Stegostoma tigrinum: one gene and its partner. The protein of the gene in region 2 purifies or fractionates together with the protein of the main gene of each other region. This does not show direct contact. Links are inferred from orthologs where the notes say so. Each region holds a gene or a part of one and is shown on either strand. Other genes may lie near its edges.

Region 1 (7,612 bases), on a different chromosome or scaffold from region 2:
GTAGCAAAAAGAGCACATGGTAGGGAGAAGATGGCAAAAATAATTAGAAGTAGTGTTTAACTAAGGAAATACCAGCAGTCTAGATACATTAGTAAACAAGAACAGAGAAAAAAGAAAATTAAATAATTAACTTGTCATGAGCATCCAGCATCCGTTGTTCACAAGGTTTCGTTTGATCAGCAAAGAGCATCCCACACAGACCCATCCCCCTACCCTTCCCCGTAACCCTGCATTGCCTATGGCTAATCCACCTAACGTACACACCCCTGGACACTACGGATAATTTACCATGGCCAATCTACCTAACCTGCACATCTTTGGACTGCGGTAGGAAACCAGAGCACCCAACGGAACCCCACACAGACATGGGGAGAACATGCAACCTCTGTACAGACAGTCGCCCGAGGGTGGTATCGAACCCATGTCCCTGGTGCTGCGAGGCAGCAGTGCTAACCACTTAGCCACTGTGTTGATTGCTTTTTTTTTTTAAGAAAGAGCATCCCACCCATCCCATCCTACCCTCTCCCTGTAACCCTGCATTCCCCACGGCTAACCCACTTGGCCTGCACATCTCTGGATACTTTGGGAAATTTACCACAGCCAATCCACCTAACCTGCACATGTTGGAACTGTGTGAGGAAACCAGAGTAAACCCATACTGACAAAAGGGTGAATATGAAAACTCCACATTTGCCCGAGGGCAGAATCAAACCGGGGACCCTGGTGCTGAGAGGATGCAGTGCTAGCCACTGAACCACCATGCCACCCAAATCCTTTTTCTATTTTCAATACCTTCACACAGTTTCAAGTTTGTTTTTGTGTCATAACGTTTATACACATGCTAAAAAACATTACAATCACAGTGTGATAAAAAGTGAACAGTGCAGATGCTGGAAATCTAACATCAAAACACTGAAAATACTTAGCTATATACAAAGAAAAGAGCATCCCCACAGAATGGGACTTCTTCAGAACATAACATACTATAATCGTAAATACCCTGATTCAAATCTCAGTAGCATCTTAACAGATGTGATATGCGATGTGATATGCGATAATAATCAACAATATAGCTCACAAAACCTCAGTCAAAGCTTAGGTACTATTACACAACTGTGGTTCATACCTGAAACTTAAAGACACCAGCATAAACATCTAAATACATTCAAGGCTCATTTTTAACTATTTCACTTGAAGTGAATATTATGAAGCATCCTTTACCAGATTGTTGTACATTGTAGTGATTTTATAAGTTAATACACCACATAAATGCCTGGTATAAAGGGTTAAAAGAGAAGCAAATATTAAGATGTAGATTCTGCACTGCATGAACGGGAAAGCAGTTCACAGTGAAACATGCAGAAGTATGCTTGTATATGACCAAAACTGGACAATACCCTCAATGCAGCTGATCAAAGCCTTATTTAGAGAAATGTTCATGTTTATCAATTTCTATATGAGCACATGATACATTTCCATACCCTGTCGATCCTGTGGCACTACCTATAGGTACAGAAGACATAGTAGATGCTGAGAAATGAGAGGTAGTATTGAGATGTTAATGGGATAACATCTCATTAATTTTTGTGCTCCTTGTCTTCTCACACAGGGGTATGTGGAAACTGTCCTAAACTTCCAGCCAAAATAGGATTGGGTGGCTAATGTTTGTAAAGGTATGATTTGTAATTCTGTAAAAGGGTGAAACTTCTGTAAAGGTATGAAACTTCTGTTTCTACTGAAGTGGACAGGTCAGTGACCTCTGTTCAAGCCAGACACTTTGGCGGCTTGAAATCGTTACCAGTCACTTCGTGAACAATCAATGCTGTATTCTGTTCGCTATATGTTCCAAATGTAGTAAATGTTTTTTGTATCAGCCAAAATAGAGTATAAAAAGCGGGGACTGTCCACTGTTCGGGGAGAATTGCTAACGGAACTCAGCACTCTGTGCCAGGTTGAGTACAGCGATCCTCCACAGCTTGTTCTTGTTTAATAATAAAGGATTGTGTTTTTGTAGCCAGGTCAGTGTCTTGCTATTGCATCAAGTTTGTGCGGGTCTCCGAAAAACGAACCTAACAGTATTAGAAGAACGAACAAAAGACAACGAAAGCTTAATAGTATAATTTATAAAGTGTTACCAGAATAGACAAACCTAGGAACATGTGTATATAGATATTTGGAGGCCAATGGGCAAGTTAACAAAGCAGGAGATGCAATCCTGGGCTTTAAGTAAAAGACAGAGTACAAAATTCACGGAATTATGCTAAACCTACATAAAACACTACCTTGATCTCGACTGGGAGTACTCTGTTTAATTTCACAAAGAACATGAAAACTTTGGGGAAAGAAAAATGTATTAAACGGCTCTAAAATGAGGAATTACATTTATGCAAATAGATTTGAGAAATTGGGGGTTTGAATGAGATATTTGGACACAGTGAATAAATGACTGAAGCATGAATAATCAGAGGTGACAGATAGAAGGCAGAAAAAGTGAGGAAAAGAACGTGGCAATCCAGAATTGACTAAAGGCATAACTAATAATTTATCACTCCTGAATGATAAATACGAACAGTAACAAAGTGTAATTGGCCTTTAATTTCATATGGTATTTGCACAGTATAATATATTTCAAACTTGATGCATCTTCTGGGAAAATGGCAAACTAAAAAAAAAACTGAATGTATGAGTGTTTCTTTGATCATTAAGTATTTTAACTAATTACGCTTCAGTAAGATGAGTAAAGACACTCACCGAATCCAGCATTTGTATTACAAGAATGTTAACCAGACTAAAAATCATTGGCCCAATTAAATTACATTGCCGTTACCGCTCATTCAGCAATTTCTACTGAACAATACTACATTTAACATCAAGGAATATTCATTATAATCACATTCTCAAACATGTCACCAAAACGGTCCATGCATGTTAATCATCTACAATTTGTGGCTGAGGAATATATTTAATGGCCTACTTGAGCTGATGTCCAGGTAAAAAGGGCAACATGCTAGTTTGCGATTATTAGAGTTATAGACTTAATGCAGGCTGTTCAGGCAGCATTTATCTAAACTGAGACAAGAAGATGAACCAGCATAGCCATTCCACCTAAACTGCACATTTTTCTACTGAGAAGGAAAGCAGAGCATCCAGAGGAAACCCCAAGCAGACATGTGTAAACTCCACATTAGACAGTCGCCCAAGGCTGGAACTTAACTAGGTCTCTGGCGCTGAGGCAGCAGCGGGTCACCGTGCCACACCAAATGGGAACAAAAGTGTGCAGTAGAAGCTGAATCAATATTTTATCTTAAATAAAGAGCTTCTGTTTTTCTTCTCCATCCACATATTAATACTGAGCAGGATCTTGTAAGACTTAATCACTACTGCAACCTGCTCTGGCATATTCAACAGTATCTAAACACCCCCAACACCTCCAAATACACTACAGGAGCCTATTACTGTTACTAAATGCCTCTATTATCTCATCAAAAACTCCATCCTGTTTTAAGCAGATGTGTGATTTGCAATCACCCAGTCTTCCGGTAGCATTTCTGTACATTAAAAGGTTATAGCCAGTACCTTCACAATTTGAATGCTTGTTTCTCTCAGTATTCTCAGATGCATCTCGTTGAAAGTAACATTTCTTTATCAATCTTTAGCCTCTCTAGCATCACAACTAATTACTCTCTCACTTGAACCATTTAAGTCAATACTCATTAGCATTTGAACAATCTGCATAACAGTTTAGCATTAATAACTAAACCTCTCCACAACTCAACTCCGAAAGTTTCCACTCCTGGTACAGTCAACATTGAACCCAAAAAGAAGCTATAGTTTTAATCTGGAGTGAAATCTTCTACCTCAACCTAATTGAAACAAAAACTTACTTTTGGATCAGAATTAACCGTGATTAGTCAGCAACAAGTCAAGTTCCTCAAATGAACAAAATTTGTGAATTGTTTTACGAAATGATCCAATCCTTCGTTGAAGCAAACTACGTTTCACTTCAAGCGTCCCAGTTCAGCATTCAGGGGAGGCTTCTCACCTATTAGAGGTCCATTCTCCGGGAGTGGTGGGGTTAACACTTGTGATGTTTTGATTGCGGCGACATTACGCTGTCAATGTAAAGATCCACAGATAATAGCGCTAAGGAAGTCTACCTGCCACACATTAAATTTATGTCAAAACCCAAATATAAACAAATGCCACAGAACTTAGGACACAAGAGGTAAGGCCCCAAAAACGTAAGGGTACAGCCTAAAGCTGTAGTCTTGACAGGTCCCATTGCGTCGCTACAAACATAATCGACACTGAGGCGTCAAATAGATTTAGCAATAGACAGACACAAAAAAACATACAAAATAAAGTTCGGGGGTGGGGGAGAGCGGAAACTGTAACACGTTACCTTTAGGTCATTTTCTGGAAGATATTTGCACTGCCGAGCTATCTCCACATACTTATCCAGGTCCAGAGGCGCCATTTTGAGACACGGACTGAGCAAGCCCCAGGCCAATGACGCGCTTCCGGTATCTAAAGCGCCGGCCGCTGGCTAAAGAAACCGGCTTCAAACCTTCACCTTACCCCGAAACGCGTTCGATCGTTAATGACCACTTTGTATTGTTTGAAGATTGACCCCATTCCCCAGGACACACCGAAACTCTTTGTTTAATCCCACAGTTTTTACGCACCGCCCTCTCCATTGGCCGGCTCGGTGGTAAAGTTGAAAGTTCAAGGGTTGTAGATTCCCTTTAGCAACACCCGAGAAAAAAATTGGGAAGAACGACAGGTATGAAGCATTTGAGGCATAGGCTTATATTGCTGTAATTATAGCGAGTAACAGATGCTCTAACGGTTAGTCATCGAAGTGCTGAAAATCAGTAAATGGAATTTGGAGGGAAGGGGAATTGGAAAGTGGCATCTTTCAGTGCTGGCCTTTAAATCGCTGGAGTGACACTAAATTTCACATCAAACTTCCCTGTTTGGAGAAGATCGGCGTTTGTTCAAATATTCTCAGAATGTTCCATTTAAATCAGAAGAACATGAAGAGGCTGCTGTAAAAGATTGTAAAACGGGGCACGTGTCCAATATTTAATTTGCTCCTCATTGTTTTATTTTAAAAAGCCCACGAGATTAAATCAATCGTGACTGCGTGCAAACTGATGACGAAAAGACAAAAAAAAGTAGCAGTGATTGTTCAGTTATGATACTGACTTAGCAAATCGGGGCATAATCACAATCTGTGCGCATGATAAGAACCTGGAGGCATTGATTGTGATCTCTGAGGAAGACAGTGTCGACCTTCAAGAGAACATGGACATGATGATAGAATTGGTAGATAAAGGGCAGAAAACCAGACAATACGAAATAAAAATTACAGTTCTAAAGGATGCACAGCGCAGAGAGATGTGAGTGTGCATAAAGCAGTGAAGGTAGGACAGTTTGAAAGAGTGGCTGTTAAAGTGCACAGTTTCTTAGGCTTTATAGTTAGGAAGGAAGAACCAAGCAGATTTTGTTAAACTTGCTTAAAAATGCACTGGCAATTACATTTCATCCAGCTGTATGCATTGCACTGTACAGAATCTGGAAAAGATTCACGAGAATAATCTCCAGGATGAGGAACTTCAATTGCTTAGAAAGATTAGTGCTGTCATTATGTTTTTTCTGGAAGGCAGAGAGGAGCTTTGTTAGATGCTTTCAAAAGTCATGAAGGATCAGGTCAGAATGGAGAAGGGAAAAACAGTGGCCATTTATGTGAAAGGTTGAAGAACAAAAGGACACAGCCTTTGAGAAATTGGCAAAAGAATCAATGGTGATATGCGGGGGAAAATGTTTTTGATCCCATTGAGTGGTCAGGATATGGAATGTACATTGAAGGCAGGTTTAATAAAGGCGTCTAAAGGAAGAATGTGCAGGATTACAGGGAGAATGCAAGAGAATGTCATGAGATAAATTGTTAATTTTGAGATCCACTACAACACAACAGTTTGAATGGTGTTTTGTGGAACTGAAGTGAAGAATACAGTAGTTATCACTCAACTGCTAATATGCATAGTCTAGGGATATCAGACTAAGACTTTTAGCATTTTTGATTTTTCATCTCCACCTCAAAAATTGGTAGGAAAGCTTGAATGAGAAAACAGATTCAGAATTGCAGACAGCCATTGACAGGTAGTTTACGATATTTACATGCACCAATCTAAGTCGTAATGCCAATGTCAGATTTTATAAAGATGTGGAGGTGGACAAAACCTGAAGTCACATGATACCAGGTATAGGCCAACAGGTTTGTTTAAAATCACAAGCCTTCAGAGTGCTGCTCCTTCATCAGGTGAAGGCTGATGAAATCTTCATCTGGCGAAGGAGCAATGCTCCAAAAGTTTATGATTTTCAATGAACTTGTTGGACTATAACCTGCTGCCATATGACTTCAGATGTTGTAAAAGTTGTAAATTACCTTATGGTCGCATTGAGACTATAATATGCTGTGCTATGGGTTGATTTCATTTACTATAATTAAATAAATGCAAGTAATTTTTATACATTAACATAACATAAAAGTTTAAATCTTCAATGTCTGACAGTTTTATTCCAGATTTTTCGAAAGGCTATGGAATTGCTGACTGTCTTGGAGCCAGGGGAAACACCCCAAATAGCAACATGGTAGGCTGTCAAAGCATGTGTATATTTAACCCGACACTATATTGACAGGAATTGTAACTGTAAAGTGATACCTTAACACAGAGATAATGTCCCTATTTTTTCTTTTGTTTTATTTATTCACATGGTCATCATTTATTTCCCATTCCTGTTGTAGTAGGTCTGTACCACATGTAGGCCAGACCAGCTAAGGATGGCAGTGAACCAGATGAGATTTTTTTTTCAACAATTGAGCCACTTCATGATCATCATTAGACTCCTATTTCCAGACTTCTATTGGATTCAAATTCCATGACTGCCATGAGGTAGTAGGAATTGCAGATGCTGGAGAATCTGTAATAACAAGATGTAGAGCTGGATGAACACAGCAGGCCAAGCAGCCTCATAGGAGCAGGAAAGTTCCTATGATGCTGGTTGGCCTGCAGTGTTCATCCAGCTCTACTCCATAACTGCCATGGTGGCAGTCAAACCGGTATACCTAGAAAATTACCTGGCTCTCTGGATTAACAGTTGAGTGATAGCACCACTAGGCGATTGTGTTCCTTTCTTTTGATGTTACAACTATACATGAATAACAAGTTGTGGAAAGACGATGTGTAAATCTGTACAGGACTGCTTGCCATGTCACTTAAAAAAGACACTAGGGAATGTGCAGAAATATTTACGGAAATTATAGCAGAAAACCTGTTTACACAGGAGTTCTGCATGGCTTATTGTTGGAACTGTTGCTGTTTGTGATGTAAGTTATAATTTGGACTTAAATGTAGGGGTATGATCAAGAATTTCATACATAGTGCCGAAGTTGGTATGGTGGGAAAGAGTGGCATAACTGCATGGAGTTTTCAAAGGACCAATCAGTTGGCGGGGCAATATAGGTTGGATTTTAACCTTGTAAAGCTAATGCACTTGGAGAGGGATTTCAAGGCAAGGGATTTTATAAATAGTTGGACTCCGAAAA
Region 2 (7,695 bases):
TTTCTCTGTTGTGAAGAGCTCACAGACAACACCCGTGTTCAGCAGTACCAACTGTTTCTTTGTTGACTGTTACAAAAGAAAACAAAGATTGTTTATCAAAGAACAGATTTTTAAAAAAAATGTCATCTCTTCATATCAGAGGCATTCAATTTATAGGGTTGCCTTTTAGAAACATTCGTGAGGAATGGAAAAACATTTCTTTTATTCTTTCCTGGGATGTATTTAGCAATTCTGAAGAATCCATAATGGGCTCAAAAAGTTAACTCTGTTTTTCTCACCATAAATACTGCCAGAGCTGCTGAATTACTCCAGTAATTTCTGTTTTTATTTCAGATCTCCAGAATCAACAGTATTTTGCTTTCCCATTAGGCTTTTGTCAACATTGGTGTTGTGTCTGACCCGTTTATGAGCTTTTGACCTCACATCCATGAAATCACCCAGGGTCTATTTTCACTTCTGCAGCTTAGCCGATTTGCTGCTGAAACTGTTATCCACACCTTTAACACACTGGACTCAATGATTTCAAAAGGCTGCTGCCTAACTGTCTACCTACCATAAACTTGGAGTCATCCAAGTCCTGATGCCCAAATTGCATCATTTCTGTTCCCCTGTCACCCAGCAATTTACACTGGCTCCCACCGAAATAGCAACTTGACTTAAAATTCTCATCCTTGATTTCAAATCCCTGTATGGCTTCACCCCTTGTTATCTCTGTTACACCCTCTTCCTGTACAACCTTTAGAAATGTCTGCCTTCACCCAATTCTGGTCTCTTCAGCATCCCTGGTTTTAATCATGTTACTGTTGACAATTGATTTTTCAGCTTCTTGGGCCCGGAGCTCCAGAATTCCCTCTCTACCTCACTTTCTTCCTCTATAATGCTCCTTAATACCTACACTTTGTGACCTAGCTTTTGGTCATCTAACCTAATGTGGCTAGATAGCATGTTTTGTTACATAATTTTCTCATGAAACACATTAATATCAAGACTCTAACTTGATAGAATACCCAATGTAAGTCATTCTTATTGTTATGATCACTAATCCTTTTGAAAGGTACACATCAACCAATAAAGCTTTTAACTAATCATTTAATCTTCTAGATAATGAACTATGTTTCCAATTATAGTCTCAACTGCAGATTTCAGCACATTTCCAAACCAGAGATACAGTAGCAGATGCCAGCTTGTGTAATAGTGACTAATCAGGTAAACATAGACCCTCACATACAAACAAATAGTATGATCATTAGGTATATGCAGACAGATCCTCGAGTACAGTCAGAGCAGGCACAGACACACTGTTCAGGTACAGTCTGACCCCTCATGTACACAATATCCCCAGCAGCAGTTATTGTCTCAGGTATTTGGTAGTGCCTCTCTCTCTCTCAACCAAATTATCAATCAACAAGTTCACAGGTAACATGCGCAACATTCACAGCCACCTACCTTGAACACCTCAGAGAAGAATCCCGACCCAATTTTCTCACAGTGAAAATCATCGATCCTGGTCAAGGTGGAGACAGCGCTACGCAGTGCTCTGTACGAAGAGGGGCGGAGATGGCTGCAACCAGGTATCGCACCCAGCACTGGAGCAGAATATGGGCCAGGGTCAGGTATCAATACATCACTGGACAGGTCCAATCTGAGTGCTGATTCTTTCGACATCTCCCCTCACATCCCCCACCCCCCCCAACTCCTGAAATCTTTTTCACATTTTTCCCAAATCAAGAAACTCTTAATGACAGGATGGTGGGAAAGGAAGAGAAGGGAAGGGAAGATTTCCAGGATTTATGGGCAGGTCTTCAAACCACCAGAGTCAAAGATGGGTCCACTGCAGGCTATTTAAAATTAATCAGAATTGATCAGCTCTAATTGATAATACAGCACTGGCTCAGATTGGCAACAGAGCAGATATCAATCATTCAGTGCCAATCAATTAGCAAGATGACAAGTACCCTCTGATTTATAGTCAGTGATCTGATTTCAATCAAGTGATAATCCAGTAACAATAGGGTGATAATCCAGTTTTGTTAATCCAGAAAGCGACAATTAACTGGTGATCCATCAGGCAATAATTAAATCCTGATCTATTGGTAGCCTGGCTCCAATGAATGGATAATCCAACAATGACAGGTTGATACAGTGACAATTCATCAGTCAATAATCAGGGTCCAATTTATTGATAATCAGCCAATTCATCAATATACGACCAAATGTCAGGATCTCTGCAACCCTTTCAGCAGTAAAGTGCCTGAAACGTACTCCTCCCGGGAGGAATCCCAAGTAAAACACTAACCTGAAAGCAGGGCTCAATTTGGACAATGTGAAACTGTAACTACAGCGACAACCCTGAGATGGAATCTGTGTGCCTGCTCTACCAAAGGCAATCCTGAACAAACTTTATCCTGACCCCAGTCCTCCCCAAACCCTGCTCCAAGTTTGCTCTGGGTTCCCCTCTCATTCAGCTCCAGGTAAACTGTCAGTTTTCTTTCGGATGCTGCTCCTGGTCTAACCCTAGTCTTCCCCTCACCTTGCTTTTGGTTTGAGCCTGATTTAATCTTGCTGCAGGTCTTGGTTCTCCTCTGATATCTCTCCTATTCTGACCCCGGTCTAAACATCCTCCTGGTCTGATCCTGACTTCCTGCGTTGATTGTACTCCAAATCCGTTCCTGGTTTCCCTTCCAATCTTGCTCCAGGTCTGAACCTGCTGCTGGTTTGATGCTGGTCTCTCTCTCTCTCTCTCTCTCTCTAATCCCACTGTCGATTTGATCCTGGTTTGCTCCCTGATCCAGCTCCGATCCCGGTTCCCGTCGACAATGACGATTTTAGCGCCGCCGTTCCTGCTCCGCTTCTTTTTGTTTTTGTTTGGCTCCGTTTATTGCAGCAGCGAGCTCGGGTTGGATCGTGCTCCGGGCGTGATCGATGGGGTGTGTGTGTGTGTGTGTTATTCCGGAACGCTGTCTCTCCCACACACTGTGTGTGTGTGTGTATGCTGCTGACACTCCGTGTTCCCATATGTGGTAGGCACGGTAGAAGGCGGCGCTGTTGAAATGCCCCCCCCACCCCACTGAAGCCTTCCTTCATTCTCCACCCTGTCACTGAAGGATAGAGGGACCAGGCGCCGCCTGTGGGCTGTATAAATTCACTGTCAATTCGCTACGTCCAGAAAATACAGGTTGCCGGTCAGTCTGAGTGGAAAAAGAAAACAAATGACCTAAAATGTCACCTTTAGTTCTCTCAGGACAGTGACTTCAAAGGAATTAAGGGATTTAAATATGTTAATCAATTAAAACCTCCGAACTGATTAAAGATTTGACACATCTTAGGTTTGTTTGCTACATCCTCATCAATGGTGTGAACCTTTGATTTTTTTATTTATAAATTCTGTGTCCGATACTTCCTCTCGCACTAACACTGAGGCTCCAAAAGCTTGTGTTTTCAAATAAACCTGTTGGACTAGAACCTGGTGTGGTGTGATTGCTGACCTAGTCCAATACTGGCACCTGCACATCATCCATAACCTTCAATCAACATCACTCAAACAGCTTCATCAGGTCACCGGTTTCAAAACATTAACTCAGCCTCTAACTTTCCTCAGATGCTGTCCAGAACTGTTGACTTTCTCCAGTATTCTTTCTTTCTGTTTATCAGAACACAGTCACGTTGCTAGCTAAGGAGATCTTGCTGTATGCAAATTGGCTGCTAGGTTTTTTTTCCTGCAACACAACTGTTCAGAAGGAACAATCCTACTGTTTTTCAGAGCTGTTCCACCTTGGATCAAGAACCCAAAGAGCACAGACTTAAGTGATTTATGAAAGAAGTAAGAATGACGTGAGGCGGAAAAATGTTAACACAGGATGTTTAGGGACTGGAAGCATTGACTGAAAATATGGTAGGGGTTCGTGGAGTGTGGCATTCAGGAGGGAAAAGGATGGTTATTTTAATAGATACAATATATAAGGGTATGGGGAAAAGGCAGGAGATTGGCACTAAATCATAATGCTTATCTGGAGACCCTGTGCAGACACAATTAACCAAATGGCCTTCTTTTGTGCTGTAAGATTTTTATGATTCAGTGAATTCCACCATGGCCTCTTCCCCATCCCACCTCACTGATCTGCCCCAGTTCCACAGTACTCCAGATCTCCACGTTCTTCCAATTCTGGCCACTGAGCATTTCCTGATTTCAGTCACATTAAACGGGCAGCCATGCGGGCTTCAAGCTCTGGAACTCCTTTCTCAAACCTCTCTAGCTCTCTCTTCCTTAAGGTTTAAACCTCCCTTTCCCGCTACACTTTTGATGATGGTGCAACGCCTGCTTTTGTAAATCAATGTCAAATTTTGTCTGACATCAGTCCTCTAAAATACTTTTGGGAGATTTTGCAATGCAAATGATGCTCTATAAAAGTGCATGCTACGTTAATGTGCTCATCTAGACAAGTCTTGACTAGTATGCTGTCACACTCCTGACTTGTGCCTTGACGATGGTGAATAGACTTTGGAGATTGAGGAGGTGAGTTACTCGCTGCAGGATTCCTAGCCTATGACCTGCTGTTTTAGCCATCTTACTTACATGGTTAAGTTTCTTGCCAGTAGCCCCAGGATCAAGAATTCTTTAGTATCTAACATTCTTCCAGTACAGTAAAAGAAATAACTTGTATTTATATACAGGATCAGCTTCCATGAGTACAGAACATTATAAACCCCTCACATCTGAATATAAAACTCAAATTTCTCTCAAACTGTTCAACACCTTATGACATCCTAGAGTGTTTTACAGCCATTAAGTACTTTTCACCCCTTCATTACTGATGTAAGATTGCAAAAACAGTGGGCACTTTGCTGACAATAATCACACAAACAAATTGATATATTTGTCTCTGATGAAGGGTCTAGGCCCAAAACGTCAGCTTTTGTGCTCCTAAGATGCTGCTTGGCCTGCTGTGTTCATCCAGCTTCACACTTTGTTATCTTGGATTCTCCAGTATCTGCAGTTCCCATTATCACTGATATATTTGTCACAGCTTTCACAACCTCAGGAATCCCAAATCACTTTACGAAGAAATAACTTTGGAGGTGTAATGTTGTAGGAGGGTCTTGTGGCACAGTAGGTAGCTTCTCCACTTCAGCCAAAACTGGCTCAAGTCCATACTCCACAAGTAGTGGCCACAGAATGTATGGTCAAACAGGTTGAGTACTGACTTGGAAATTCATCCAACACACCAATGTCAGGTAGTCCATCCTCTGAATTACCATATACTTAGATTCATTGGGGGTCGTGGGTTCAATGGCCAGTTCAGATGGGAGCCAACAGCATGGGGTTCAATACATTTCCCCCTGTTCCATCTGGAAATGATCCTTGTGGCACAGGTTGAGGTTCTGTAGTTTGGACAGCCTCCAAGCAGAGAAAAAGATAAAGTCACTGTTGTAATGTAGAAAACAAAGCAGCGAGATTAGATACAAATGTCAATGTGATTCAGTGAAATGGATTGAAGAATAAATATTGGTCAGGTCATCAGAAAGAACTCTCCTCCTCATTATCAAAAGATTGTCGTAGGACTTTTTTGTTCACTTGTAGTACATAGGCATCTCCAGCTGAGTCTGCTTTAATGCCTAGTTGCCCTTGAGAATTTGGTGGGGAGCACCTTCTTGAACTGCTGCAGTCCACGTGCTGTAGGTTGACCTACAATGCCCTTAGGGACGGAATTCATGATTTTGACCCAGCAACAGTGTAGGAACAGTGATACATTGTCAAGTCAGGATGAGTGAGTGCATTGCAGGGGAACTCGCAAGTGGTGTTCCTATGTACCTGCTGTCCCTGTCTTTCTAGATAGAAGTGGTTGAGGGTTTAGAAGGTGCTATTCAAGGATTTTTGGTAAATTTTTGCCACATGGGGGACAGTCGCTGATGGCCGGGATCTCTGGAGGATGACTAGAAGGTCATTGGAAGTGGTGAGAGAAAACAAAAAACTCAGCTGCTGAGAACAGGGGCTCAGAGAAACTGAAGCCAGAGCATCCTGCACCTTCTCAGCTCAGTGTCTTCCTCTACAGTAACTGAAGCAGAGACTGCTCTGTCAGAGTGTGGCTCCTGGCCACACCAGACAACATATAACAGAGTTTACCACTACAGTGCAAGTGATGATCTTTTGTGAAAGATGGTATCCAAATGAGGAAATATGGAACAAATGTCAGCAGATGAAGCTGAAATTACAAGTCAGTTATAAGTTTTGGAACAGGCATCTCTTCCAATATTTATTGCAGCTGGTTTGAATGGAATAAAATGGTGAGTGATTTGTGGATGGACAATAAATGCTGGCTTGTGGGGGGTGGGGTGAGCTCCATGGCACAGTAATAGTGTCCCTACCTCTGAGCCAAAAGGCCTGGGTTCAAGTCTCACCTGCTCCAGAGATGTAAAGTAACATTGCTGAACAGGTTGGTTGGAAAATGTAATAAACACTGACTTGGCCAAAAACACATTAAAACAGACAAACCTGTTATGCACAATCTCTCAAAATCAAGATCCACGCTTGGAAATTCTCCTGCTGCTTTCTGCATTGTGTCTTGGGATCTATTAAATCCATCTGAACAGGCAGACAGGGCCTTAGTTAACTGTCTGATCCAAACAACAGCATTCACTCATGTGATGCACTGAGTTGTCTTCCTTGATTGATTGTTGGAATAAGGCTTAAAACCATAATCAACCATCTGACACTTAGATACTCATACGACAACACAGTCAAAATGGTACCCAGTGGGCTTGAAACAAACAAGTCCCTTGACAGAGACATGGGATGGGTATATTCAGTTCTAATAGCTACCAGGAATGACAGTTAGAGAGGCAGTGTGCGGTTTGCAAAACAAATTGACATTTTCAAAACAAGGTGACAGAACAGATCCACGCCGTATGCTGCACACCCTAGCAGCATCTGTGGAGACAGAATCAAAGTTAACATGTCAGGTTAAAAGCTTATTGTCAGAACAGTTCTGTAACTCTGGCTGGAATTTTCTCTGTCCCATGGAGGCAAAGCAAATTTAGAATGAAGCATGGTGTGTCAACTTCCTGAAAACTCAGCAAAGGCCAGTATTCTGTCAGCAAGTCACGTTTATTTACACGTGAATAGTACTTGAAACTGGTCCAGGTAGCACAGACCCATCTCCTAGAGTGAACAGAATCTCTGACATAACAAAGTGTGGAGCTAGATGAATACAGCAGGCCAAGCAGCATCTTAGGGGCACAAAAGCTCTGCTTGGCCTGATGTGTTCATCCAACCAGGAAACCTGTGTTCTGTGAAGTCCACCTGGCTAACTTCATTCCAATCACTACATCTGTCCCCCTGTATGTCCTGGGATGTAGGCCTGTTCTTTTTCTGTGGGTCATTTTTGCACCATGTCAGGTTGCTCCAACTCTTTCTTGGGGATAGTTGCAGTTTGTAGCAGACTGTAGCCCACCTCTCGTGCCCAGAGCATCTCAGCTGAAATTCATTATCTGGGTGGTAATGGTGTTGAGGTTGCAACACCTGCTGTGTCCATCTCATCCTCAGAGATTTATTCAATGCTAGGCAGATGGGGAGAACCCAAAGGCAGCCTTGCCAGATGTTCAGAGGGGCTGGACATATTTTGCTCCTGTCCCATTTGCAGGGGTCCACGTACTTGCTCAGGACCGCATCTCCTTTTGGAGCTTTGTACATCACAGGAC

The links.
Region 1: the proteins of dual specificity testis-specific protein kinase 1-like (region 2) and rabepk purify together in Homo sapiens (affinity purification with mass spectrometry; 3 studies listed by BioGRID and IntAct, with this or other methods). This does not show direct contact. The link is inferred for Stegostoma tigrinum from reciprocal best matches to the Homo sapiens genes TESK1 and RABEPK.

Annotation. Positions count from the first base shown.
Region 1 is NC_081382.1:26,602,742-26,610,353, forward strand, and holds the start of rabepk (rab9 effector protein with kelch motifs), read left to right. Parts: upstream 1-4,533; 5' UTR 4,534-4,783; intron 4,784-6,578; exon of another isoform or gene 6,579-6,589; 5' UTR 6,590-6,604; coding exon 6,605-6,657; intron 6,658-7,612. Other genes in the region: ppp6c (serine/threonine-protein phosphatase 6 catalytic subunit), read right to left, coding at 4,403-4,477. UniProt on the Homo sapiens protein: Rab9 effector required for endosome to trans-Golgi network (TGN) transport.
Region 2 is NC_081356.1:132,182,597-132,190,291, reverse strand, and holds the start of dual specificity testis-specific protein kinase 1-like, read right to left. Parts: upstream 3,037-7,695; 5' UTR 1,666-3,036; coding exon 1,447-1,665; intron 1-1,446. UniProt on the Homo sapiens protein: Dual specificity protein kinase activity catalyzing autophosphorylation and phosphorylation of exogenous substrates on both serine/threonine and tyrosine residues.